Linked DNA regions of Mus musculus: all the other regions are reported to be linked to region 6. The links are microRNA targets in miRTarBase. Many come from high-throughput screens and were not tested one by one. Region 6 holds a microRNA gene; each other region holds the end of a gene's coding sequence. Distances are between the middles of the regions.
The links. The annotated mature microRNA mmu-miR-297a-5p reads AUGUAUGUGUGCAUGUGCAUGU and lies in region 6 at 2,245-2,266, shown strand. An mRNA with a match to its seed (bases 2 to 7 or 8) in the 3' UTR can be bound and repressed. Matches are read on the target gene's strand: a 7mer-m8 pairs with bases 2 to 8, a 7mer-A1 pairs with bases 2 to 7 and ends in A, and an 8mer does both.

Region 1 (4,070 bases), not on the chromosome of region 6:
AAATTTAAAAATACTAGTGGTTGCTGATAATATGAACAATAGATTAATATATCAGATTTTCAGGTATAAGAGTTGACCTTATACTAAATTAGTTACAAAATATAAAAAATTTTTCTCCCTCATTTTTCCATCATAGTCTCAAAGGGAATCATAGTGAGTGAACAGAAACATGTGTGAGTCTCCAATTCACAATTTATTCTCTAGTAATTATATAAAGATGCTAAAACTATAATTTTGAGACAGTCTCACAATGTAGCTTTGGGTGGCCTGGAATTCCCCATGTAGACTAAGCTGGCCTAGATAGAACTCACAGAGACCCACCTGCCTCTACCTCGTAAATGCTGAGGTTAATTAAAGGCCACCTTAGTCTACCTGGCTGTAATGTCTCTTCTTAGATCAATTCTTTCTAATTCTTCCTGTTTGTTTATAATCCCAAACATCTCATTTTTGTTTCTATTCTGCCTTTTTCTTAGAAATTTGTTGTGGAATGTTTCTTGGGAAAAGTCAAATTCTAACACTATTTAAAACTAAACCAAACAAACCAAAACCAAAACCAAAAAAACAAAACAAAAAAACCCTCCTCATAAGGACTCAAAGAACTCAGTATAGTCAAGTTTACTTTTCTTTTCCTTTACTGAATGAGTAAATTAACCACACACCGACAGTGTTGTAAATTTAAGTGCAAAAGCATTGAAGTGCTTTACTACAAATTACAACCTAGAAACACGTTAACTGAACAATTAAAATTCATACAATCAGATTTAGATATATAACAACACAAAGTAGGAACAAAATTACAGTACATGTACAACACAAGACAGATACATGAATTCATTAGAAAATATTGTAATAAATAATTCATGAATTATAGTGCAATTGATTTATGCATAAATATAACTAATTGCCTAACAATCAGTTTATATTAACAAAATCTGTCAAAATCAAGGCAGCCACAGAGTTTTACTAAATTACTGCGACAATGGAAATACTGCAATTAAAAAAAAAACCCACAAGTATCTGCACTGTAAACAACTAAAAAAGAAATCAGTTTCACTAAAGTCAGTATACAGTTTAATATAAAATTGTCATCAGCTATCAGAAATGGTTTAAACAACTTTACTGAGCAGTAGTTTTCTAAAAACAGAGGCACTGTTTTTTTCTTTTCCTTCTTTTTTTATTTTAAATATAAAATACTTGAGGAACATTCAAATAAGTAGAAAGCGCATAAGGGTTGCTTTCATATTCATTAAAAGTCAGCTGAAATTGGATTTTTCAGAAACTGTCAATTAAGTAGTAACTGGTAATTAAATTTTTAAAGGATTTTGAAAGTTTAACATAAAGCACGTTTTAATAGAACCAGTGGGGAGAGGGGAACCCATAAACTTCCCTGCCTTTCCTAGTTTGTATAATTAAAAAGTCAACTCAGTAATACAAACGTTATGTTTCTTTTAAAAGTTATGGGTGGATCATTACCTATAAACTATCAAAAAATATTTTAATTTACTATTTGACCAAAAATAAATAATAAGTACTAAAATGCTGCAAATTAACTTTAATATTACCTATAAAACTACTGGTCACTGTGAAGTCAATAGCAAAATGATCCCTGATTTATGAATGCTGTAAAGTTTTTGGTCAGGTCATCTTTTAAATGATAGAAAAGTGTTCTGTAAGTTTCCCTTTACTATAAACTTCTCAATCAATTTATCAATGTAAATATAGTGTGAGGAATAAAAAAGCTCAATACAATATAAATATTATGTAATGCATTCGAGCTCCCAAAGTTTTGCAAGTAAAATTCTGTATAAAGAGGTCAAGAAAATTGTTTTTTGAAGCATTTACTTTTTAACTTTGTTTTTCAATGGGAGGAGGGGGAAATATAATAAATAATCCATGTTCCGGTCCTCACAAAATATGGCTTAATTCTTTAAAAAGAAAGATGACCCTGACAAATGCTGTCTTGTAATCTATTAAGTATATTTTCTTGGGGGAAGAAAAAGATAAAGAGGATTCATACCCCAGTATGCAGGTAATGTTAACAGCTGAAAATGTTCAGTACAGATCTGAGAGACCAAGCGATTACCTGGTCATATATTTTCTCATTCTTCAGTTTCTTTAAATACATGCAAGCAGTTTTAAAGTTTAGTAGCTGAACAATCACAAGTTCATGTGATTACTAAATACACACAAACACAAGTGTAGCAACACAAGTATTTGACAAGGTGCACTTATATTTAAATTCAGCTGTAAGAATTCCTTTTGGATTTATAAAAAGTGGCTTAGGAACATGACCAGAACCTGAATTCTAACAGAGAAAAGGGCATAGAGGAGGAGTCTCATCTATAAAGCAGATCTCCTGTCTTTACACGGAGGTACATGCTTTATTACATTTCTACTACCAAAACTGCATACTTCATAAACCCACATGAATACTCTGACCCATATTTTTAAAACTGTTTTATAAAAATCACTGGTTTCATATGAGTCTAGTAAAAGTTAAAATGCACTGCCCAGCTTCTAAATATCCAAGTAGTAAAGAGTTTACATTACTGAAAATTCAAAACAGCGTCAGTGTTAAATATCTGTAAATCTATTCAAGACCCTGAACAAACTGCAAGTTTGGTTATTAGCAAAATGATAATGTATCACCCACCAAAATGAAATCTGTAATTCATCTTGATAAACTGAAAATGTTTTGAAATGTCACAGCAGCAAATATATTAAAGTTACACTGAGGTTTTTCAGTAGGAGTGTGTCACAATCCTTAAAGTAGTCATAACGTCAACTAACCAGCACATTAACCACAATGACCATTCTCAAGCTTGTCCTGCGCACATTATAAACATGCTCTAAGTGGCATTCCAACTTCTTTCCTAACCTTACACATTAGCTTAGTTTTCAAATGAAAAACAAAATTAAGTTACTTTAATAATTAAATTTAAATTACTTTTTGCTTTTAGTATTCCATCTTATATTAAAGGATTCTATAGCTTCTGGGGTTAATTAACTATGTCAGCTTTTTTAAAATTTAAATTATATACGTAATAACCCCAACTTCCTGCTAACTCAACAATTAAATGATAAATATTAAATTTTACTATACATATCCTTTAAGGTTTTCTCTTCTATCCTGGCGGATGCACTTTAGTGCATTCTGTATTTCAAAGAATGCACTGTAGTGTATTAATACTGTATCTATTAGTTACTCTTGGTACAGAGGTAACTATTTAACTTTGATTGGTTCTTTGACATACTCACAATCATTGTAGGTATGTTACATAAAAGTGTTCACAAACTATTAATATCATGTTTCCATTATGAGATGGTTCAACTGAATGGCTACAATCTTTTTACCAATAAAAAAATGTCTCACTTGACGGTTACTTGTTTCCCCACATTTATGCTATTGACTACTAAAGAAAACCTGAATCTTTTTCACCTATTTATACAAGGATTAAATACAAACTATCAGAATTAATAAGCAACTCTATAATTCTGTCCACAGTGAAAACCCTGAATAAAACTTTTTCAAAAGGCATGTAAGTGGTTTTTGAACTGTAAAATTTCATGTCTCCTGTCAGAGTGAGCATTTGTAATTTCCACATGTGTATGTAGATACACACACACAAAGACTCACATACCCCTGTACACATACATTCCTGCACGCACACGCGCGCACACACACTCTCACACACACACACACACACAGTCTCGCACATGTTCTCTAACAGTAATCTACACAGGCTTGCTGCTGTTTCTGCAGCTGCCAGTCCCTGAATCTGTCATATATAACCCAGTGTCTGGTAATCGTAGTTTCTTCTTCGGAGGAGTCTTCAGTGTTCCAGATCTTTCCTTTACCTTGTATTCTAAAGTGCTGTGAGGTACCCCATAGATTCCTTGTGCTTTGGAAACACTCATTTTCCCACTCATTACCATTGCAATGGCCTCTTCCATTATTTCATGATCATACTGTCGATAGCGGCCACGTTTTTTCCTGGGCTGCTTATTATCTTTCCGGTCCAGTCCATCTTCAGTGTTCTCAGAGGTTCCATCAACTGTTCCATTTTTAG
Region 2 (4,070 bases), not on the chromosome of region 6:
ACTGTGCCGGCCACCATCGTCATCGCCTGCTACTTCTATGAACAGGCCTTTCGGGACCAGTGGGAGCGCAGCTGGGTGGCCCAGAGCTGCAAGAGTTATGCCATCCCTTGCCCTCACCTCCAGGGAGGTGGAGGAGTCCCACCACACCCGCCCATGAGCCCAGACTTTACAGTCTTCATGATCAAGTATCTCATGACGCTGATTGTGGGCATCACATCGGGCTTCTGGATCTGGTCCGGCAAGACACTGAATTCCTGGAGGAAGTTCTACACGAGGCTTACCAACAGCAAACAGGGGGAGACTACCGTCTGAAACCCAGACTCTTACCTTACCCTTTTTTGGCCTGATCCTAGCCATCGCCTGGAAGCTGGCCCCAAGGAATTCCTGCCAAGCCTGGCCACTCCAGGCTTCCTCGCCAGCCACTGACTTTTGCAGGCCCCTTTCCCAACAAACAGCACAGGTTCTGCAAAAGCTTCCGTCCCTGGGGTAAAGGAACGAGAGGGCCCAACTGATCGAGGTGTATGTGTATGTGCGTGTGGACCGATCTCTCTAGCCCTCTCTGATACCAGGATTGTACGCTTTTATGATTGTAAATAGCCTGTGTAAGATTTTTGTACGTATATTTGTATTTAAAGACTATCGAACACGCAGTTTTTTTTTCTTTTTAAAAATGTTTAATTATTTAGGGCAATTTACGTATTTGGAGCTTTTCTCACTTGCCCTTTTCTGCAGATTGCAGAGGAGGTAAAACAGAGCACACTTGACTAAGTGCTTTGCCCTGTGCCCTCATCTTTGTCAAGGGAGCATGGGCCTGCCTCTCCAGGGTCATTTCCTTCAGCATCTCCCGCCCCTCCCCTTCCTTGCTTGCAGTGGGAAATTTTAAGGTGCAGAACTCTGTAAAGCTTCCAGATCCCGAGGTGGGCCCCGCCCATTCCAGATCCTCCCCTTTTCAGCGGTAGAGTGTGGATGGCTGTCCCTGTGACTTCCTGATGCTGCTTATTTGAGATCCACCTTCCAGCTTTATTAGAGGACCCCAGTATGGGCTCTGCCAGTTGACCCAGCCTCCCTGTACCCCGGTGTCCCTTGCCCAGTGTCTTTCTCCTTGCACCTAAGTTGTTCAGAGGGAGTGCAGTAACCGACCGATAGCGAACTTTGGAGAGTCTGACTTTTTATGGATGAGCTCATTTTTACTCTCTAGTATCTGGAACTTGCTCTGGGTCTGGTCATCATCATGGAAAGAGCAGCAAGCTTTGTGGGTTGGGAGAGGCTAAAGAGAGAGGTTATAAAACATTAGTTCTAATTGCATTCTGATGTCTGGCAACCTACTTTCTTCCCCCTGTGATGCTGCCTGCTTCTAGATTTTACCCTTCTATGAAATGCAGACCTCGAGGTTGCCTGGGAAGCTTGGTGAAGGAATGGTTTACCTTCCTTAACAGGATAGTAGAACATACACAGAGTATGGAAACCTAAGGAGATTTCAGTGAAGTGGAGTTACTCCAAGTGAAACGCTGTTTTCTGGTTTTAGCCAAACTGCAATTAGATGTGTCTTTGCAATCTAAAAGTTGTACACAATCAACAATACACTTTGCTTACTCCTCAGCAGCACATTCTGAGGGAGAAACAGTCACACCCCCGCAGAAAGCCTGGTTGGACTTCCGAAGACAGAGGCGGTGGACTGACGGATGGGTGAGAGAGACAAACACGACCTAGGCATGCATGCTGAAGGGGAAGTGTGTCCATTCCTACTGCATCCCATCTTGTGTGCTCCTGTCTGGATTTACGGCAGTGTGTCAAATGTAAATCTCTCAAAGCCATTTAAAAATACTCACTTTAGTTATGGATGAAGAAGAGGAGAAAAGCAGTCCTCCTGATTGTAGTGTTTAAACCTTAAGAGTTTATCACAAATGCCGATACATACATAGGACCTAAATTTATCTATGTCTGTCATACCCTAAAATGACATTGGTTTTTGGATTTGGTATGCATTATTATTGTTATTATTGTTATTATTATTCTCACCACCATGAGATCATCTATATTTATAGAGGAATAGAAGTTTATATATATAAAATGCCATATTTTTAATTTCGCAAATAAAAAAATGAAAGTTTTGTACAAAATTACATTTTTCTGTGTGTGCCTGAAAACAATCGTCCTATCTGAACTGCCTTTACATTTTACAATGCCTCACAACCAGTCCACAATATACAAAGCTAAAAGATTCAATGGAAAAATCCACCCTTGCAAAGTGCAACCAGCCTGCCTTCTGAATGGCATGTGTAGAGTCCCATGCCAAGGCTGTTTTCATGGTAGCAGAAAATAGAATATTTTCAAACAATATTATTTTTAAAGTCTAACTCTAATTTTAACACTGAGGCTTTTTTCTTTCTTTCAGGGAATACATTTACATGACTTTTATTTGACAGAGGTTTATCTTTCAGTTGGGTGCCTTTGTGATGTTCTATGAGGTATTGTCTTGTTTTTTTCCATTACCGTGCACATCCGAAAACCCATAAACAGGCAATCAGTATGTGGTCACGGACTCTGTTTATAAGCATCTAAGATGGCAGTAGGCTGTGGAAGCGTTTTGTTGTTGTTGTTTACTTCTGAAGATTCCATCTGTATTGTTCAGAGAACCTTTCACAGAGGAATTTCCTATGTGACCTCAGAATTGATATGCGTGCATGTACATATACCTGTACACATGCATGTGACTATATATACAGCAAAATAGAAATAACAATTTACATTTTATAATATGGGAATAATATGAGAAATAGAACCCTATTAGAAAACTTCAAATATCTGGAGATTTAAAATATTTTTATTATATTTTTCATTACTTTCTAAAATCAAAAGACAAAGGGCTAAAGAGAATCCATTAATGCACCAGAGTGGCTTTTATGGTTATCAGGAAATTGTGTTATAAGTCTTAATTCATTTAAGATATTAAACATTTTAATTTAATGGAAAATACACATTTAAAGTTGGAAGAAACAATTTTTGGTTGTTACATTAATAGAAAAGATGGCATTTGAGAAGCTTTTATATAGAGATAGACATGAAAAAAAAACAGTAATTCTTTAACCAAATGAGAACATGTCTCATTAGGTAATTATGTAACTTGTGGGAGAAATATTTATGACAATTAATTAGTTTCTGTTCCAGGAATAAATGTAAACAAAACAACAACAAACAAACCAGCCTTATTGTGGGTGTCCTTAAAATGATGCAGATGTGAATTTGACACAGAAAGGTTTTATAGTCTCTCTATACTAAAATATCACTCAAACAGTAACAGGTTTTATATTCTCTCTATATTAAAATATCACTCAAACAGTATTTTAAGTCACTGTCAGGCTTTGTCTTCAGAAAGCACTTTATTTTAAAGTATGTGAGATACATAAAACCAGGAAGGTTTTTGTTTGATTTGGCTTGGCTTTGCTTCGTTCAGTATTGATGGCAAAATAAAACTTACCTGGGAAACCGTGGAGCCGCTGATGATATGATCCCATTAGGATGCTGTTTCCATGACAAATCCTACTTTCACATGGCTTGATTTGCCTGGATTTTTTTTTAAAGCCAACTTTCTATTGAAGTCAGTTTCCCCCCTGACAGTGCACTCAATTCAGCTTTTACAGTAAATATTAAGGTAACATGAACACCTTCTGATGTTCATATTTTCTTTTCACCTAGATTTTATGGAGACAAAGAATTGTGTTTTTCATCCCAGAGGCAGACTGTACCAAGCATATGTAAAAGAACCAGAGGGGATATTTCAGCAGCTCTGCAATGGTTTCTTGTTAGCCTGAGGTTAGAGCCCTGGTCCTTTTGTCTCTACTGTGAGCACTGAAGCCTTCTGCCATACATACATTGTTATTAAAGAGCCAGCATTTAACTAGGAAACTAGAGTGGCAGAACATTGTAAACCATTATACATTTCCGATGATGATTTTCTATATAACTGGAGTCCAAGAAATTAAAACAGAACATGGTCACTACACATGTTTACATGTGGACACTAGTGATATTTTCACTGAGTATTTCTTAACACACCAATCTCAAAGTCT
Region 3 (4,070 bases), 120 Mb from region 6:
CCTCTCTCCCTGTGTCTCTCTGCCTGTCTCCCTCCCTGTGTCTCTCTGTCTCTCTCTCTCCCTGTATCTCTGTCTGTCTCCCTCTCTCTCCCTGTGTCTCTCTTTCTGCCTCCCTCTCTCCCTGTGTCTCTCTGTCTCTCTCTCTCTCTCTCCCCCTCTGTCTCTCTGTCTCCCCTCTCTCCCTGTGCCTCTGTCTCCCTCTCTCTCCCTGTGTTTCTGTCTCTCTCTCTCCCCCTCTGTCTCTCTGTCTCCCTCTCTCCCTGTGTCTCTGTCTCTCTCCCTCTGTCTCTCTGTCTCCCCTCTCTCCCTGTGTCTCTGTCTGTCTCCCCTCTCTCCCTGTGTCTCTCTGTCTCTCTCTCCCTGTGTCTCTGTCTCCCTCTCTCTCCCTGTGTCTCTCTTTCTGCCTCCCCTCTCTCCCTGTGTCTCTCTGTCTCTCTCCCTGTGTCTCTCTGTCTCTCTCTCTCTCTCCCTCTGTCTCTCTGTCTCCCCTCTCTCCCTGTGTCTCTGTCTGTCTCCCCTCTCTCCCTGTGTCTCTCTGTCTCTCTGTCTCTCTCCCTCTGTCTCTCTGTCTCCCCTCTCTCCCTGTGTCTCTCTGTCTCTCTCCCTGTGTCTCTCTGTCTCTCTCTCTCCCCCTCTGTCTCTCTGTCTCCCTCTCTCCCTGTGTCTCTGTCTCTCTCCCTCTGTCTCCCCTCTCTCCCTGTGTCTCTGTCTGTCTCCCTCTCTCTCCCTGTGTCTCTCTTTCTGTCTCCCTCTCTCTCTCTCCCTGTCTCTCTGTCTCCCCTCTCTTCCTGTGTCTGTCTCCCTCCCCCTCTCTCCCCATGTCTCTCTGTCTCTCTCTGTCTTGTTTTACCACAGAGAAAAGTGAAGCAGTGAGATCATGTGGCTTGTCTGGGTCACACAGCCAACTGGCACAATAGGCTTTGTACCCAACGACTGTCATGGAGTAGCATGCGGTGCTACTGACTGCCCTGTGTGCTTAAGGCTGGCTCACAACCCCCTGGGATTGCCTCACAGTACTTGCCTTGTTCTATTATCCACTCATCAATCTGCTGTCCAGTGGGGCCACTGACAAGGTACCACAACACCCCATCACCTCCCTGCTCCAAGCATCTATCTGTTCAGCCACAAACAACCTCCTGCCCACCATCCTCCAACCACTCCCTGGGCAGAAGTGAGCCCTCTCTCTCCTGTGCTACACATGCAGATCCATACACAAAGTCTCATGTAGCCCAGGCTGGACTCAAACTGGCCATGTAGCCAAGGATGACCTTGATCCTTCTGCCTCTACCTCCCAAGTGCTGGGATGAGAGGCACATGGTGCTTTAAGTCCCTACCCCCACACAAACTGGTCCCCAAACTCAGGGCTTTATGAATGCCGGGTAAGCATGCTACCAACACAGCTATGCTGGCATCTCTTCTCTGCTTCCTTTTCCATACGGCCTGCCTTCCCTTGCCCAAAGGACACCCAGAAGTGAATTTCTGGAATTGGGAAGAAAACTGATCTGGCAATGAAATATAAATGACATCTCAGAAAGCCACTGTGTCCCACAGCCTTATGTGTTTATGGCTCCAGCACTAGAATATCTACTGGAGGTCCCTAAGGCCCATGATGTGTGACATTTTTTCCCCTCAGTGATGTCACACTAGGATCCTGGAAATTTCTGGACATTTGTTTCCTCAAAGCCACCTGTCAACGTTCACCTCCAAGCCACCGGTGGGTCGGGAGTCATGGCTAACAGCAGCAGGGAGGGAATGGCCGACTGACTGTTCAGATGAAGCTGGAGAGAGTCCATCTCCTTTGTCAAGTTTCTTTTATTAAAATATATAGGACTGAATATTGGTGGGCGCTGAGACAGGAACCACCCTTCCAGGCTGCACCCAAGGGAGACGCTTCTGCCATGCGGACATGCGGCCAGTCTGTGTCCCTGCAAAGGGGACAGACCCCTCCAGGTTGGGCGTGCAGCCAGAGGCTAAGGGATGCAGCAGGTTAGAGTGGTGGCCTTTTCCCGTGGCCTTGGCTTTTCACAAGACAGGGACCTCGATGGGAAGAGTCAGACTGGGGGACAGGGGGTCCCTGAGCCAGGGAGAACTGGTGGTCTGTAGATCGGGTAAAGGAAGGCCCCGGTCAGGATGGAGATGGGGTCAGTACAGCCCTCAGAGGGGGGGGGGGTCCACCTGTGTATAGGGGTGTTGTCACCCTGTCCTTCCTCTAAGGACCTCCCTTATCTTGGGGCTGGCCTTCTGGGGAACACACGTGGACTTTCAGAGGCAGGCCTGAGCAGAGACCGGGCTTCAGATGATGGAATGTACTTTTGTGGGGATGTTCCTCCAGGAAACATGCTTCTTGGGACACTGTTCCTTCTGGGCGAGGCCTGGGGAGGCAGGAACAGCTCTCTCTCCTCCTGAGGGTCTGCTGACCTGTTGCCTGGTCACAGGTCCCCAGCCCTCAGGGCTAGCTCCAGCTTAGGGTTAACAGTGGCCTTCAATCCCCAGGGCGCAGCCCAAGCAAGCAGAATCCGCAGGTTTGTGCTTTAGAATGTTGGCGAGCTGGGCTGGGAAAGGGCTGTGAGACCCCCAAGGCTCCGAGGTACAGGATGGATGTCTGAGCGTCTTCCTCGGCCACTGAATCAGGGCTGCAGGGACCCAGGCCTTCCCTTGTGGGCTTGGCCTGAGCTGCTAGGAGTTTGTGCTTTTTTGTCTTGGTCGGGATGAGTCTGTTCAAGGGCAGCCACAGAGGTGTGGCCGATCCACTGTGTTAAGGAACTGGGTGGCAAGTGGCCAGGGAAAAGGAGGGGGATGCCCCCTACCAGACCTCCCATTTCAGCCCAGTTCCCTGGTTGTCAGTCTATGAGCCAGGTGATCTCCCCAGGGAATCAAAGAGGACCTTGGAGAGGCCATCCTGGTGCTGGAAGTTGGGAAATCTCCACCAGCCACATTCCCACTGGCCAGCAGTCTTCACCCAGTGGTATGGACAAATTGTTTCCTCAGTTTCTCCAAAAACCTCAATCCTGCCCCACTCTTACAGGAGGTCTTAGTCCAATGGCCCCTCACTATCTAAGCTCACGGCATAGTAGGTAGCCTGGCACTCAGGTTCCAGGACCCCAGGTGATCATTAGCATAAGGCTGCAAGCCCAGCTTCCAAAACCATTTCTTCCTATAGACCTCTCCCCTCTTTGTCCCCTTGGAGTTTCTGGGAGCTTCCTAAGAGCATGGGTCCATAGGCAGGGAGTAGTTTGATCTCCCGAGTGGTAGAAAAGACACAGGGACCTTAGCTTTGTAGACCTGGTCCTCTCGATCTCTGAGTTCCTTGTGGGTAACATCTAGCCAGGGCTGGCCATCCCAGAGGCAGCCTTTTTTATTGACCTAGGAATAGGCGGGGGTGCCTTCTGGCTGCCACTTCCTTGGCCAAGCCAGAGGAACCATGTGTGTGTGTGTGTGTGTGTGTGTGTGTGTGTGTGTGTGTGTGTCTGTATGTCTGTGTCTGTGTCTGTGTGTGATGGTGGCTGTGTCTTGGAAGTAAACTGCTCACTTTTTGCAAATATATTAGAAAAATGTTTCTCATAGAGGCTTCTCCTGTCAGGATTGAGGCTTCTCTGGGTTGAGAAGCAATGACCACCGGGGTCCCCTCCCACATGTCCTAGATGACGTTCTCAAACAGCTGCATGGAGTTCATGATGTTCTCATCCTGTATGGAGAAAAGGAAAGGTCGGTCAGGAGCTGGTTCCCCAATGCTGACTAACTGCGGATTCCTGTCAGAGACTCTCACTGGGTAGATGGGACACTGAGGAGCAGAGGTATGAAGTAGAAGGTAGCCCCAGAGCCCAAGTGGCAAGGTGCAACCTATCATTCCTAGGGATGGAGCAGGGTCCGGCCACCACTGATGCACACACACAGACACACACACACAGACACACAGACACACAGACACACACACACACACAGACATACACACATACACACACACACACACACACACACACAGACACACACACACAGACACACACAGACACACACACACACACAGACACACACACACACAGACACACACACACACACAGACATACACACAT
Region 4 (4,070 bases), not on the chromosome of region 6:
GATAGGGAGGTGCTCTACCACTGAGCCACGGCCCCAGCCCTCACTGGGGGATTCTAGGTAGGTGCTCTACCACTGAGCCACGGCCCCAGCCCTCACTGGGGGATTCTAGGTAGGTGCTCTACCACTGAGCCACATCCCAGCCCCTCACTGGGGGATTCTAGGCAGGGGCTCTACCACTGAGCCACGCCCCCAGCCCCTCCCTGGGGGATTCTAGGCAGTTGCTCTATTATTGAACTACATCCCCTTCCTTATTATTATTTATTTTTGATTTTTCGAGACAGGGTTCCTCTGCATAGCGCTGGCTGTCCTGGAACTCACTCTGTAGACCAGGCTGGCCTCAAACTCAGAAGTCCACCTGCTTCTGCCTCCCAAGTGCTGGGATTAAAGGCGTGTGCCACCACTGCCCGGCTCCTCTGTGTTGTTGTTGTTATTATTATTATTATTATTTTTTTTTTTTTTTTTTTTTTTTTTTTGGTTTTTCGAGACAGGGTTTCTCTGTATAGCCCTGGCTGTCCTGGAACTCACTTTGTAGACCAGGCTGGCCTTGAACTCAGAAATCCACCTGCCTCTGCCTGCCAAGTGCTGGGATTAAAGGCGTGCACCACCAATTATTATTTTTAATTTGAGTGTGGGTGTTTTGCCTACGTGCATGCTAGTGACTGATGCCCATGAGGTCAGAAGACACCTGACCCACTAGAACTGGATGGAATTCTGGATGGCCGTGAGCCACTATATGGGTGCTAGTCCTCTGCAAGAGCAGCAGGTGCTCTTAAACTGTGAGCCATCTGCCCAGCCCCCCTTTAATTGTGTGTGTGTGTGTGTGTGTGTGTGTGTGTGCAGATGACGAGAAGAAAACTCCCATGAGTTGGTTCTTTCCTTCAGTCATGGGTCCTGGGGACTGATTCAGGTCGTCAGGTTTGAGTGACAAGCACTCTTGCCAGTTGAGTCATCTTTTGGGCTCACCTAGCCTGTTTTACTTTTTATATTGAGGCAAAGTCTAGGTGGTCTTGAACTCACTCTGTATCTATCTTAGACTGGCCTCTAATTTTTTTTTTAATTTTTTTATATGTTTTTTGAGACAGGGTTTCTCTGTATAGCCCTGGCTGTCCTGGAACTCACTCTGTAGACGAGGCTGGCCTCGAACTCAGAAATCCGCCTGCCTCTGCCTCCTGAGTGCTGGGATTAAAGGTGCGCACCACCACCACTTGGCCTTTTCTTTTTCCTTTTTAAAAAACTAAATTGTATTTATTTGCGTGTTGCAAAGAGGGCATGCAACATGTCTTTTTGTGAGTGTCAGAGGATAACTTGGCAGAGTCAGTTCTTTCCTGCTACCATGTGTGTCCCAGGGCTTGGTGACAGGTGCCTTTGCCTGAGACATCTCTCCAACCCTTGAATACACTCCTGTGTACCATCCATTTGTGTGAGCACACATGCTACACTGCATATATGGAGGTCATTCTTTCCACCGACCCTTTCATCACTGGGCTTGCTCAGCAAGTCGTTTCACCCACTGAGCTGTCTCACGGGCTGTGACACATTAAGAAGCCCATTTGTTAGCCAGGCAGAGGTGGCAAACACCTTTAATCCCAGCCCTTTGAAGGCAGATCTGAGTAGAGGCCAGCCTGGTCTCCAGAGTTCTAGGGCAGCCAGGGCTATGCAGAGAAACTCTGTCTCAAAAAAGAAAAGAAAAGAAATCCAGTTGTTTACATGGGCTTGACTGAGGGGTTTTGTTTTTCAAAAAGAAAGGTGGGCATGAGGAGGAGAGGACACAGCTCCTGACCTCATTTTCCCACTTCCACCCTAGGGAGGCTTCTCTTCCAACTGAGCATCTTCCCTCCTAAGGAGGCAGCTGGTGAGATGGCCTGTCTGCACTGCTAACAAGTGTCCATATGATGCTAATGTGATGGTGGTTAAGTGCGCTCACCCCACAGGCTCCTCAAAGCGGTCTGCCTCAATGGAGGTGGTGCTGTGGTGTGTGCCTGTCACCTAATAGCCCACTCTAACTTCAGATCAATAAAGCAGCTACAAATAACCCCCGACTCTATGGGACTCACCTCCCCAATCTGACTCAGCCATTATGTTTGGAGCAATGGGAAACAGGCCCACACCATGAGCAATGTATCCACAAGGCTTTTGAGTACAGCTGGAGCCCCAGCAACAGCTGATCCGGAAGATCCATGAAGCCTAGGATACTTACTGGATATCTCTTTGCAAAGATGCGATGCTGAGCTAGGGGTGGAGGGAGGTGACTCCTGCTTTAAATAAGTGATGGGCTGGGGGCATGGCTTATGGGTAGAACACATTGGCAAAGTCTTAAGTTCAATACTCAGTAATGCACAATAAATAAAATAAAATGCCTGGTGCTCTGACCAACAAGATGGCTCAGCAGGCCAAGGTGCTTGCTGCCAATGCTGTCAACTCGACTTCAATCCCCAGGACCCACATGGTGGAATGAGAGACCTGAGTCCTTCAGGTCCTACTTCTACATGTACGCTGTAGCCTATGTGCACTCTTTGACAAATACAGATTGTAATAGATAAAACAAAGAGCTGAACAATCTTGCACATGACCGACAGAGCTCCAGGCAGCAAGGATAATGGGAAATGGACAGAATGCAGTTTCAGGCCGCAGTCCCTGGGCCAGGCACTCTGAGGCCAAACTTCACCCACCTGGATGTCCAGCCTGACTCGGGACCATACTGGTGTACCCGGCTTACCCTGGTGATGGCTGGGCCTTATTGGCCCTCCAGCTACCTCATGTCAGAATGCAGGTCATAGCCAGTGATGACTGTCACTAGAGGGGCCCATCCCATGGAGTCCACAGCCAGCATCCCTCAGGCTGGACCACCTCAACACCGACATATGGAGACAGGAGCTGTCTGTACGGATGTAGTGTAATCAGTCAAATCACACAGATGGCCACACAAATAACTATAATAAATAATTTAATTCCATAAATGGCAAAGCAGAAATGTTAAAATTTGTTGGACACGACCCCCCCCCCCCCCAACATTGTCTTAACAAAAATATAGGCTGCGGCTAAGAACCACTTAGAAATCTTTAGGCACTTGGTGGAAAAGACACTGGAGAATGGCCACCTTACTGACTGCTACAGCAAGTGGTAGGGATGAAGGCTGGTTTCCTAGTCTATCCTTTACCCACGGGCATCACTAATACTGAGAAACAGAAACACCAGGACAGTGCACCCACACTGCAAGACATTCCAGTGTATTTAAAATCGGGAGGAGCAGGGTGGTAGTGGTGCGGGTCTTTAATCTCAGTGTGGGGAGGAAGAGGCTGGTGGATCTCTGAGAGTTCCAGAATAGTCAAAGCCTCACAGGGAAACCCTGTGTCAAAACCCAGAATAGTTGGGAGAAACTTTATCAGTGAGTCAAGACTGGACACTGTCCTCAGCACAGGATGATGGGACAGAGCCCAGAGGAAGTGGATGGTTGGTTGTTTTATAATCCTTTGGCTTTCCTGCAATGTGAAGAGCATTATGGTGAATCTGAAAGCAGCCCAGGACCCCTGGGGCTTGTAATTTAAAAACATTATGTTCAAGCAGCTAATTGGGAAGCTGGCGTGTGTGTGTGTGTGTGTGTGTGTGTGTGTGTGTGTGTGTGTGTGTGTATGTGTGTTACAAAACCCCAGAAATCTGCTTAGGAAACACAGAAGCTGATGTTCAAGCACCATCTGGGGGCCCAAGGATGGCCCGAGGCCATGGACACAGTGTCTCAAGTGCGAGGTCTGCAGGCCACCACTGTCTGCCTTCAGTAGCTGATGCACACAGTCACCGAGCAGCGGCCATGGTCTGCATGTGCTGCAGCAGCTGCTCGCAGTAGGTAGCTGAGCGGTGTTTGTGGACGACAGCCTCCGTCTCCCGCACCAGCACATCTGGGAACAGGACGCTGCCCTCCTTGAGGACTTCTAGAAGAGAGCATAGAACCCTGAGTCCAGCATCAGTGGGCTGGGTGCCCACCTCCCAGCTTTACAGAGCTGGCAATCTTTCTCTCTGGCTGCTGGGTAGATCCCACGGGGCTGAAACCACCTTCTTACATGCATGCAGAACTC
Region 5 (4,060 bases), not on the chromosome of region 6:
AAGAGAACGCGATGCTCCTGCAATGAATGTGGCCCTGGTGGCAAGCCTGTGGCGGAGGCTTCTCTCTAGTTGTTTCCTTTCTTTTTTCTTAGGCCCTGACCCACGTATCCGAAGACTGTTTGCCCTTGCTGGATGGCTGCAGGAAGAACAGACAGAAATGGCAGGCCCTCGCGGAGCAGCAGGAGAAGATGCTCCTTAACGGGGAGAGCAGCCAGGGCAAGCGGGACTGACTGATGCCTCCCTCAGCCCCGCCCCCACACCCCTCCCCGTGTACAAACTGCCACAGGCCTGGTTTCCCAGTCCACTATGCAGACTTGAGTGCACTTTGCCACTGCTGTATTTTATTTTTTGCACAACTTTGGAGAGCGTGAAGTGTTTCAGAGATTGCTACCTACTTTCCATCCTTTTGTTTTATGCCACTGAAGTGGAGCGATCAAGTCATGCCCACTCTAACGCTTTTGATAAGGATGGTGTAAACGGCGATTCTACACTCAGCTTGGTCATGCTCGGGGATTATAAATACTGGCCTTTGTGTTCCTGAGTCACCACTTTTTTAAAACACCTTAGGAATGGTTCTGAAAAGTGGGTTAGGGGCAAAGTAAATGTGTTCGGGGACATTGAAAGCCACCTTGAAAATTAATGCTGACCGAGTGGGTGTTAGGGAGAAATTAATATAAACTTGTCAGAAGTGTCTTAACCAAGTTAAAGAATTGGGAAACAAGAAAACGTGGTACCTAATTGCTCTGCTCTTTCTAGGATGGGGAGAACTTGCAGTATATCCCATCTACGTGGTAGAACAAACTTAAGCTGCAAACCATCCATGCAGCCGCCCTCTTCAGCAAGCAGACTCCCCACTGCGTCTAAACCCCAGGCCAGATGATTCCCCTCCCCCAGCTGTCCCAAGAGAGACATGGGAGGGCCCTGGATAGCCCTCCACCAAGAGAAATGTTTTACTTGAAGATCTTTCTGACAATCCACATTTTTAAATACTGAAAACTTTTAAAACTAATTGCTTTTTTGGGGGGGAGGGGTCGTTGTTTTTTTTTTTCGAGACAGGGTTTCTCTGTGTAGCCCTGGCTGTCCTGGAACTCACTCTGTAATCCCAGCACTCAGGAGGCAGAGGCAGGAGGATTTCTGAGTTCGAGGCCAGTCTGGTCTACAAAGTGAGTTCCAGGACAACCAGGGCTACACAGAGAAACTCTGTCTCAAAAAACAAACAAACAAACAAACAAACAAACAAAAAGCCAACTAATTTTTTTTTTTAATTTTTCTTTTGCTTTTCATCTCCTTAATCCAACAGTTTAAGCTTCAACAGAGAAACGGTCACAGGGGCACATGCCTGAAGGCAGATATGACTACAGATACGCGAGTGCAAGTTGAGTCTTTATCCCTTCTGTCAACTGAAATTGACAGGAAAAAAATATTAATAATTCTATGAGTAGCAGAGGTTTGTCTCCAATAGGCAGGTCAGACAATGAATTCAAAGGAACAGTCTGTGAACGTCTTCCTGCCCAAACAAAACAGCATTCAGTATTAGAAGTAGAAAGTGAGTCAAAAAACAAAACAAAACAAAACAACAAACAAAAACAAACAAACAAAAAAACCAAATAACTGCATTAGGGGAGGAGCATCTGTTCCAGATGTGCAGATCTGTTCCAGATGTGCAGAAAGGTTTGGGTTTGGGCAGAATTAGAAGGATTTGATTTATTCATTCCCACCCTTTCCCCACATCCTCCCAAAGAGGGTAATGTATTTTGTCTGGGTTTCTAGCATTAATTTGCATTAAAATGGTTTCTCTCTTGCTTTTCTCTCTGTTTAAAATTCAACATGGTCATTTTAATCCTGTGTATGTATATTGTATTGTGGCTTTGTTCTTCCTCAGATATGAAAAGGCAAAGCAGGCTATACTGGCAGTGTTTTGTATTGGTCAAGGCTAGACCAGGGAATTGTCACCCAATACTAAATGTATTCTTGTTGTAATACTTGTATTTTTTTTTCAGAATTTTATCTTATTTTTATTTCATGTCATAGAGATGAAACCTGGAAGGTTGCTCTAACGCACTGGTGTGTAAATGGTACAGACTGTCACTAATAGTAATCACACCAGCCTCACACTCGCCTATGCAGAGTGTAGGCGCACTGCTTAGAGGACATTCTACAAGCCTGGCACTGTGACCGAGCAGCTATGCTGAAATGCAGTCATATACATGTGTTGCTTCTCCACACTCCTCTGACCTAAGTCACTGAGAATATTCTTAAAGAGTTCATTATATGTGGAGGGTTTGTCTAACATAGTGACAGGCAAGAAGCCGTATGTACATTGAAAATCATTCGGTTTGCTTTAGGTCGTGGTTTGTCTTACTCTACATATTAACATAGGAAAAGCACTGTGATATTTTATTGCTGGGTATTTTATTCAAATAATTTTTATTTTATAGGAAAACCATTCCATACATGGAATGCTATCTGTGGTACAAGAACACAAATCATAGTTTTTGTTCTGAATGTGAATATTGCCTTTCTAGTGTCCACTCAAGTTGGAATATATCTATCACATTATATTATCATTCCTCTCTCATGCTGCCGTGAATCCATAGTGCCCGTAATGAACAAGAAAGTGTTCTTGTCCTGGACTGTTCTCTTGACAAATTTCTTGGCTGGCTATAGTGAAATAATATGATATCATGTCATTTTTAACTTTCAGCCAGAAAAATCCTCGTGGTTTGGTAAGTTGTCTATAAAGTTTTCTGATCTTACACGTTTAGAAGAGTTAGCTGCCTTTACCAGTCAGGGTACTCACGTAGTTTGGTTTAGACAAAGCCTGTGTTTAAGGGGCATGCCCCCCAAGAAATAGCTAGCTCTTAAGCTTTTTTATGGACCTTTGAGACCACTGTTGCAAAATGGGGTATTGAGGTAATGACCTGACAGCGCCCGTCATTTCTTCGCTGAGTTCCTTAGATGGAAAACAAGTATTGTTAATTCACTCCACACAGACCTGGCTCGGAGCAAAAATGTAGGATGATACTCTGTCACTGGTTGGCTAATTACAAAGAAGAACTTCTTTTAGCAGCAACACGGAGACAAGAGTATATATGAACTTGAGTCAGAAATTCTTGCCTACCAGTTAAGTGCCTTTACTCTCAGAACGCTGCCGAAGTGTAAGGCTTGGCACCTATCACATTTCCAAATTTCCTGTGTTTCTCACTAGATTACACTCCTAAACCTTATCAGGTAAGCGGCATGGCCTTTTGCTTTAACTTGATTTAAGATGAGAAGAGATGAAATGTTCCCCGCTCTCCTGTAAACAGCTGTCTCAAATAAGGTGGCAGAATTTAATGACTCAGTGTCAACCATGCATCAGCCCGTTTCTTATTAAATCCTCTCCGTATGTTAGGCACAGTGCTCAGATGCTGAGACACAGCAGGAAGTGCCAGGAGCTCATGGGCCAAGCATGGAATGAGTAAGGGCATCGCTTCTCATCCCGCCAACTCAATGTGCAAGTATATAGGGCTTTCCACCACTTTCCCCTTCTTCTGTAACATACATAACATGCACTTTTATCCAAAATTTCTTAAGAATCTGTCAGTGAACATTCCGGCTTCCTGTTGGCGTGGACCATTTACCTTGCTGATAGCTTAAAGAGCACCTTACGCAAGGAGTCACATCTTCCACAACATAGGTCATGTTTCCATATTGCAACTAGAGAGAGAGAGAGAGATCGGAGTTCTCAGACTATTCAACTGCAGATTTGGACTCTTTCTGCCCTCTCACAGAGAGCAAAGAAGGAAGTATTAAAGCTTACCTCACCCTTCCACATTGTTATCAAAAGCCTGTGTAGACATGTCTTGAATGTCATTGAAAGTGATGTAAATAGCTGAAAAATATAAATTTCTATTACCGTTTAAGAACTCTAGTGAACCCTGATTCGCCACTGTTGATGACCTATTTGTATTCTTATGCCTTTTCAATATATCTGAACAAATATATAGTTTCTGGCACTATTTTTATACTAGCGTAAAAGAGTTACTATGTAAATTATGTTTTGTTGTGAAGTCATCTA
Region 6 (4,070 bases):
TGATGATTTTAAGATCAGCCTGTGATTCATGTGATTCTCAGCCATGTATGTCCATGTGTGTATATTTGTGTGTGCATGTGCTTGTGTGTATGTGAATATATATATCATACGCACGCACACACACACACAAATGCAAGCACATACACTCTCACACACAGAGGAATTGAATTCATCCATTAATTTGAATGCTATGTGACTTATTCTTTTAGAGATTATGCAGTAGTGGGACAGTGAACGGTCTCACTCGCCATGTGCAAACATATTACAGATTGAGCAGGGTCGGGAGTTCAAATTCATGCTTAACTTCAGCTGGACATCATCCTGGTATTCATGTGATGCCACCCGTGTATGTGCATGTGTGTTTACGTCCCTGTGTATGCACATGTGTGTATATAAATATACATACCATAAACATACATGTAAATGCAAGCACACAAACATGGAATGGCATTCATTGATACATTTGAATGATGTGTGACATAGAGCTTTAAAGATTATGTAGTATTGGGCTAATGAAACTTTTTACTCACAATGTGAAAAAGCTTCCCATATTCAGAAGGATTAGGAGTTCAAATTTATGAATAACTTCAAAATGGCTTAGAGATCAGCCTGGCTTTATGGGTTCCTTCCCAGTGTATGTTCATGTTGCATAGTTTTGTGTGCTAATGTATGTGTGCATATGAATATACATATAAATACACACAAACACATACACACAGGCACACACACACACACACACACACACACACACACATACACACACACACACACACACACACACACATACCCCGAATGGCACTCATTGATACTTTTAAATGACATGTGACTTAAAGTTTTAGAGATTATGCAGGGCTGGATCAGTGGGTGCTCTCACTCACAAGGTGAAAATGCTTGCCAGAGTCAGGAGGATCAGGAGTGGAAATTCATTCTCAAATTCATGAGTCCAGGATCAGCTTCGGATTCTAGTGATGCCCCCAGTGTATGTGCCTGTGTGTATATGTATGTGTGCATGTGCATGTGTGTATATGAATATACATATACATACACACATACCCATACAAACATGCACACAAACACACAGAAAATTGACACTCATCGATCCATTTCAATGATATGTGAGTCTTAGAGATTCTGTATGACTGGGCCACAGAGAGGTCTCACTCACCAGGTGACGCCCCTTGCCAGAGCCAGGATGATCAGGAGTGCAAATTCATGTTCACTGCATGATGAGGTAGAGATCAACCTGGCATTCATGTGATGACCCCTATGTATGTGCATGTGTGTTTGTGTGTACATGTACATGTATATATATATTGATATACATATAAATACATGCACACATATTCATGCATGCACACGCACACATTAATGGCACTCTTAGATCCATTTGAATAACATGTGACTTAGAGGTGAGAGATTATGCAGTACGGGGACAGTGAGTGTTCTCACTCATCAGGTGTAGACAACTGCCAGAGTCAGGTCTATCAGGAGCTTAAATGCATGCTTACACTCATGAGGACTTAGAGATCAGCCTGTGATTTATGTGATTCCCCCCATGCATGTGAACGTGTGTATAGTTGTGTGTGCATGTGTGTATATGAATATATATAACATCCACACATGTATAAATGCAAGCACAGAAACACACAAACATAGGAATGGTACTCATCGATCCATTTGAATGATATATGACTTAGAGTTTTAGAGATTATGCAGTAGAGGGACAGTGAATGGTCTCAATCACCAGGTGTAAATGATTGACAAAGTCAGGAGGATCAGGAGTTCAAACTCCATTTAGAGATCATCCTGGTATTCATTTGATGCCACCCATGTATGTGCACGTGTGCTTACATGTGTGTGCATGTTCATGAATGTATATGGATATGCATGTGCAGACACACACACACATGCAACACACACACAAACACATGGTGACTTGCATTCATCTACTTGCATAATATGTGACTAAGAGTTTTAAAGATTATGCAGTACTGTGCCCGTGCATGCTCTTACTCAACAGGTCAAAGTGCTTGCCAGAGTCAGGCCTTAAAGGTATGTGACTTAGAGTTTGAGAGATTATGCAGGGCTGGATCAGTGGGTGCTCTCACTCACAAGGTGAAAATGCTTGCCAGAGTCAGGAGGATCAGGAGTGGAAATTCATTCTCAAATTCATGATTAGGTAGGGATCAGCTTCAGATTCATGTGATGGCGCCCCCCCCCCCCAGTGTATGTGCCTGTGTGTATATGTATGTGTGCATGTGCATGTGTGTATATGAGTATACATATACATACACACATACCCATACAAGCATGCACACAAATACACGCAAAATCGCCACTCATGGATCCATTTGAATGATATGTGACTTAGTCTTAGAGGTTCTGTATGACTGGGCCAGTGCGTGATCTCACTCACCGGGTGAATAATCCTTCCAGAGTCAGGAGGATCAGGAATTCGAATTCATGCTTAACTTCATAATGAGTTAGAGATCAGATGCGATTCGTGTGATGCCCACCAAAAATGTGCATGGGTGTATAGTTGTGTGCATATTCATTTCTCTATATGAATATGCATATACACGCAAGCACACACAGGAATGGCACTCATATATCCTTTTGAATGGTATGTGACTTAGAGCTTTAGAGTTTATCCAGTAACGGACCAGAGCTATGTCTCAGTTAGGAGGTGAGTATTCTTGCCAGAGTCAGGAGGATCAGGAGGTCTAATTTATGTTTAACTTCCTGATGAGTTAGAGATCATCCTGGCATTCATGTGATGCCCACCAATAATGTGCATGTGTGTATAGTTGTGTGCATATTCATTTCTCTATATGACTATGCATATACACACATGCATACAAACTCACATACAGGAATGACAGTCATATATCCTTTTGAATGATATGTGACTCAGAGCTTTAGAGCTTATGCAGTACTGGGCCAGAGCTATGCCTCAGTTAGGAGGTGGATACTCTTTCCAGAGTCAGGAGGATACGGAGTTCAAATTCATGTTTAACTTCATGATGAGTTAGAGATCAGCCTGGAATTCATTTGATTGTCCTTGTGTATGTGTATATATGTGTAGGTAAGTGTGCTTGTACATGCATGTATATGAACATACACACACACATACATATACACATAAGAATGGCAGTCATAGATCTGTTTGATTTATATGTGCTTAGAGTTTTATAGAGTGTATAATTATGGGTCAGTGTTACATCTAACTCACCAGGTGAAAACCACTTGCCAGAGTTAGAAGGATCAGGAATTTAAATTCATGCTTAACTTCCTGATAAGTTTGTGATCATCCTGGCATTCATGTGATGCCCACCAAAAATATGCATGGGTGTATAGTTGAGTGCATATTCATTTCTCTATATGAATATGCATATACACACATGCACACACACACACACTCACACACAGGAATGACACTCGTTTATCCTTTTGAATGGTATGTGACTCAGAGCTTTAGAGCTTATGCAGTACTGGGCCAGAGCTATGTCTCAGTTAGGAGGTGAATACTCTTGCCAGCGTCAGGAGGTCCTGGAGTTCAAATTCATGTTTCACTTCATGATGAGTTAGAGATCAGCATGCGATTCATGTGATGCCCTCCCCCATGTATGTGCATGGGTTCATACTTATGTGTGCATGTAAATGTATGTATATGAATGTTCACATACATATACATAAACACACACACTGGCATTCACCTACACGCACATTAGTGGCTCTGATCGATCTATTTGAATGAGATGTGACTCAGAGCTTTAGAGCTTATGCAGAACGGATCCAGGGCTAGTTCTCCCTCCAGGTGAAAATGGCTTCTGTGGAAACCTGACAGCCTGAGTTGGATCTCTGGAACTCAGCACACAGGCAGGCTATGGTGTGATTCTTTTGGTTTTTCGTACACCTGATGATTTTCTTTGAGTTTTCAGATTGCAATATATCTTAATTTAAAATTTATCGTTCATCTGGCTCGGGAGACTGGAATACCTCCCTCATTAATAGCTGTCTTCTCTTTCATTCTCTATGAAAAAGGTCACTTTTAATTGAATGGGGTTAAG
Region 7 (4,059 bases), not on the chromosome of region 6:
GAACCCCTTCCCACTCCAGGCTTATACACTGATTGGGTTGATTGTATTCGGGTCTCGTGCCATGTGCCCGACTTCTGTCGCTCAGTTCTATCCACACTGCTTCATATGACAAAATTTCACCCCTTTTAAGGTTCAATATTCTACCATGTACACATACATTTCTCTTTTATACAGTGACCTGTCAATGGACATGGATAGGTTGTAGCCATCTTTGGCTAGTGTGCTTTTGTAGGCATGTGCATCTTATTTAATGTACTGACTTCAGCTCCTTCCGTAATGGATCATACTCAAGTTCCATTTTAATTTTCTGAAGAACCCCTATCAGTTGCATAGTGGCTTGACTCAGACATTCCTATCACCTGTATGAAGGTGTTGCATTTTGAAGTGTCCCCCCAAGGCTCCTGTATTTTAAACACTTTCTCAATGCTTAGTAAGGTTCTGGGTGGTTGTAGGCAATGACTGGTGGAATCTTACTTTTTATTCAGCCTTGTCTGTCCTGGAACTCAGTCTATAGTCCATGCTGGTCTTGAACCTGGAAAATCCGCCTGCCTCTGCCTCCTCTTGAGTGCTGAGATTAAAGGTGTGCGCCACTACCGGGCCTCAAAAGCCATTCTTTTAAGAGGAGATATTACCATTTGATCCTTGTTATGTGTTTCTACAAAGTGCCAACCTGCCTTTGGGCTAAGATTTTATCACAGGTGACGACTGAAGGACCAACCCTGAGAATTCTGAGAGTTTGGGATATTTCACGTATATTTAGCAACGCATAGTCAAACTAAGCAGAAGACTTTGAAAAGACCTTAAAACTGCTTCAAATATTGCCAATTATGTATGTCGGTTGTTAATTCATTTTCTGGGAGCCTAAAGAGCATTCAACCCGAAAGCCTGACCTAGTATAGCCCAGGGTGTGGATCAGCACAATCTCCCTTGAGGAATTTACCCTCAGCTGAAATCTGAACGGTAAGCAGCATTTACTGCCTGCGTAAGCAATTCACCCTGCAGACAGCTAAGGCAGTCTGCTCAAAGGAGGGCCTGCCAGTATATAGATACCTTTAGTCTTTCCAGTCTCAACACTCCACCATGATCAGTCCTGAAAACGGCCTATTTGTCTCTTTTTTAGACACTTCTCTATTCTTTATGTCATGTGATTTTCAAGACTTCAAGACCAAATTGTATCATTGAGAAAACCAAAACCCAAGACCACATTAATGCTAAAAAGCAGAGGGGAGTTTCAAATCCTGGTCCATTTTAACAGCAAGTATCAAGGCTAGTTGGCACTTCCTCAGATTCAGGTTAACGGTGGCATGGTGCCAGGGATTAGTTGCAATTTACTGAAGCATCAATGTTACTGCAAGCTTGTGGCAGCAGACCCCACCATTCACCCATTCAGTTATTACTGACTGGGAAGCAAGAAGTCAGAGAACACTTTGCTGGGCCATTGATCTAGCCAGTCTGTCCTAAGGTTCACTGGATGTGACACTGAAATGGCAGCAATGTGAAGTACAACCACACAAAATGGGAGTCGTAGTAGCTTTTGTTCCACCTATTAATATTCCCTTTAGACTTCCAGCTATACTGGTCTTTCTTTACCCGTCTTTAGGTCCCCCTTCTGCAACACTTGACCCATTTATTAATCACCCTCTTCCCGGGTCTAAATTTTCAAATCTTTTATTGCTCAGAAACTCACCTTCTCGAAGAGGTATATTCTGACTACCCTACACTAATACTGCAGCCAACCAACTATCTGCACCTATGACTTCAGTTACTGTGACTTGTTTCCCTGTCAGAACATGGACACTAAGCACTCTGCTTAGATTTAGAATTACCTTAAGACAGTGCTGCCTTTCAACAAGCTGTCAGACAATGGTCAGTAGTGTTCGTGGAACTACTGAACTTTAAAAAAAAAATTCACTTAATTAGCACAAAATATTCCTAGGTAAAGCAAATGAAATATTTGGCCATGTTAACTTTTTCAGTCAACATTTCTCTTGTGACATATCATCAACTGAGTATGTTCCAAAATGTACAGCTTGAAACACAACTTTTATTAGAAAAGTTATACATAACATAGCATCGACTATTTTCAAGAACAATATTAAACCCAATAAGCGACAAAAACTGGACTAACAAAATGTTTAACAAGAAACTAACGACCTTTCTATAATCAAACATTCAATTATCTACAGTGTCTTTTTACAAAGGGGACATCCATGGTTACAGGCACGTCGTATTGAAAAGAAAACTGCAAGAGCAATTTTATACAATTACCATTCTCGAGAAACTGAATCATTAAAGTAGTAATTACGAGTTCACAAATTTAAAATATTTCACATAATTTTAAATTACTGGGTATACATGGAAGTCTTAGTTTTAAAACTGATTTCCCCCCCATAAAAGTGCCAACACTTAAGCTAGAACTTTTCAACATAATTTTGTCCTACAAAGTGAACATGTTTTGATATTTATATAGTCACATAATTTCTGGTGCTATCTGGTCTGTTAATAATAAAGCCTTTATTAGGATGTTTTTCTCCACTTAAATTATAGGAAACTGATACAGGATTATAGTTGCAAAGTTATTAAAAATAAGTTGCAAATACAGGAGTGTGCAGCCTTGGAAAAAGATGAGTACTAACATTTATAATAAATATCAGAGAAGCCATTAGTTTTTACAGCACTGTTTGCTTAAAGGAAGTCAATCTGGGGTAGTCTCTCATTGGTCTGCCCTTCAGCAGGCAGGGGAATGTCTGCTTCCATGATCTCATTATTCAAGCAAACATCCAAACACCTCTGAGAGTGATCTGCAGCCCCTGAGGAGTCACGCCACTGTAGACGTCTGATCGTTCTGAGCTGCGGTGCATAGCATCAGAGGTCCTAAGACTCACGGAATGATTTCAGAACATAATAGCCGAAGAAGATCAGTCAGCACAACCTCACAAATTCTTGCTCAGTGTGGATTTACTTTAAACATGATCAAGAAGACAAGCACGATGCTTCACACACTATCCCTACTACAGTGGTTAACCAGACCGTTGGTTTCACTGATGGGAAGACATTTTTCTCTTCCTGTCAAGGGACTCAAACCACAGTTCTTAAAGTGTCAGGCATTTTCCTAGGCAGGTTTTCCTTTCAACATAGTAATGGAAAACTAACATTAAAAATGGTGCCTTTTGACTGTTACTCCATATTCTTACATGCACCAATATTGCACACATCTGTTCTGAACTGTTAAAAGTCTTCTGGGTTCTTGGGCTACTGTTTTCTCCAGGAATACAAACCCAACCCAAATAAGCAGTTTCCCTTAAAAATATGGTTGACAAAATTAGAAACACTGGGGGGAAAAAGAAGAAAGAAAAGGCAAAGATTTTTGTACAAACAGAAATCTAAAAACTTTCTTAAAGGGTTTTGGTGCCCTGCACACGGGGGCAATTTGTATGTACTAGTGAGTTATCACTAGCTCGAACACATCTAGCTCCTCAGATAATATGGAACCGTGGTCCAGGGGTTGCAATGATGTCACTGTACGGCTCTTCCTGTGTGAGCTCGATGGCTTGCTGCTTCTTAAGAACCAAAAAGCTGTAGAACTTTGCTGCTGCCTGCTTTCGGTTTGTGTTTCGACACAGCTCAAGCAAACTGATAGACTCTGCTCCAGTTTTAGCAAGAGCTCGCTGAAATAGAACAAAACAAAGCAGATGATTTCAAGTAACTCACGCACAAAGTAGTAACCAGAAGATGCAATTTTGGCACTGGTCAAAGTGAGCTCCGTTTGGCTGGAGCTGGGACTGGACATTCGTGTAGTTACGCAAGTGGTTCCCATGCTAGTCACTAAGGTAAAGGCCTTATTATCTAAAGCATATTATCTTAAGGCATACAGAGTTCAAGAAGTAAGTGAAGGCGCCACAACAGAGATGTGAGTTAGCAAAAACAAACACTCAGCAGATTTTAAAGTGAAAACAAAACCAAAATCAAACCGGCCCCTGATAACCTTCCAACCCTAAGTATCATCCATCCCCATGTGCAGAAAGGAAGGAACTTGGGAGAACTGTCACGGGTGCTCCA

Region 1: miRTarBase lists Lcorl as a target of mmu-miR-297a-5p. Seed matches in the 3' UTR shown: 7mer-m8 at 3,607-3,613.
Region 2: the mRNA of Fzd1 is a reported target of mmu-miR-297a-5p. Seed matches in the 3' UTR shown: 7mer-m8 at 1,446-1,452 and 7mer-m8 at 1,913-1,919.
Region 3: miRTarBase lists Kcnip3 as a target of mmu-miR-297a-5p. Seed matches in the 3' UTR shown: 7mer-m8 at 3,469-3,475.
Region 4: the mRNA of Dnaaf5 is a reported target of mmu-miR-297a-5p. Seed matches in the 3' UTR shown: 7mer-m8 at 3,627-3,633.
Region 5: the mRNA of Pde5a is a reported target of mmu-miR-297a-5p. Seed matches in the 3' UTR shown: 7mer-m8 at 3,539-3,545.
Region 7: the mRNA of Rad21 is a reported target of mmu-miR-297a-5p. Seed matches in the 3' UTR shown: 8mer at 3,431-3,438.

What each region holds. Positions count from the first base shown.
Region 1 is chr5:45,729,721-45,733,790 of GRCm38, forward strand. Lcorl (ligand dependent nuclear receptor corepressor-like) reads right to left here. Exons shown (of 7, transcript NM_001163073.1): 7 at 612-4,070. The coding sequence ends at 3,736. Among named protein-coding and RNA genes, the nearest start is that of Gm3414, 4.2 kb to the left of the region's middle.
Region 2 is chr5:4,751,894-4,755,963 of GRCm38, reverse strand. Fzd1 (frizzled class receptor 1) reads left to right here. Exons shown (of 1, transcript NM_021457.3): 1 at 1-2,125. The coding sequence ends at 312. Among named protein-coding and RNA genes, the nearest start is that of Fzd1, 4.3 kb to the left of the region's middle.
Region 3 is chr2:127,454,704-127,458,773 of GRCm38, forward strand. It overlaps Kcnip3 (Kv channel interacting protein 3, calsenilin), which reads right to left. Exons shown (of 9, transcript NM_019789.4): 9 at 1,795-3,685. The coding sequence ends at 3,638. Among named protein-coding and RNA genes, the nearest start is that of Fahd2a, 12 kb to the left of the region's middle.
Region 4 is chr5:139,185,366-139,189,435 of GRCm38, reverse strand. Dnaaf5 (dynein, axonemal assembly factor 5) reads right to left here. Exons shown (of 13, transcript NM_001081265.2): 13 at 2,926-3,926. The coding sequence ends at 3,790. Among named protein-coding and RNA genes, the nearest start is that of Sun1, 13 kb to the left of the region's middle.
Region 5 is chr3:122,855,103-122,859,162 of GRCm38, forward strand. Pde5a (phosphodiesterase 5A, cGMP-specific) reads left to right here. Exons shown (of 21, transcript NM_153422.2): 21 at 93-4,060. The coding sequence ends at 230. Among named protein-coding and RNA genes, the nearest start is that of Gm34577, 6.6 kb to the left of the region's middle.
Region 6 is chr2:10,514,833-10,518,902 of GRCm38, forward strand. It overlaps Mir297a-4 (microRNA 297a-4), which reads left to right and starts at 2,235; the gene lies at 2,235-2,332. The region is part of intron 10 of Sfmbt2 (Scm-like with four mbt domains 2); the gene reads left to right. Mir466h (microRNA 466h) reads left to right here and starts at 59; the gene lies at 59-139. It overlaps Mir297a-3 (microRNA 297a-3), which reads left to right and starts at 988; the gene lies at 988-1,089. It also overlaps Mir466l, Mir669i and Mir669h.
Region 7 is chr15:51,960,580-51,964,638 of GRCm38, forward strand. Rad21 (RAD21 cohesin complex component) reads right to left here. Exons shown (of 14, transcript NM_009009.4): 14 at 2,025-3,668. The coding sequence ends at 3,477. Among named protein-coding and RNA genes, the nearest start is that of Gm52217, 28 kb to the right of the region's middle.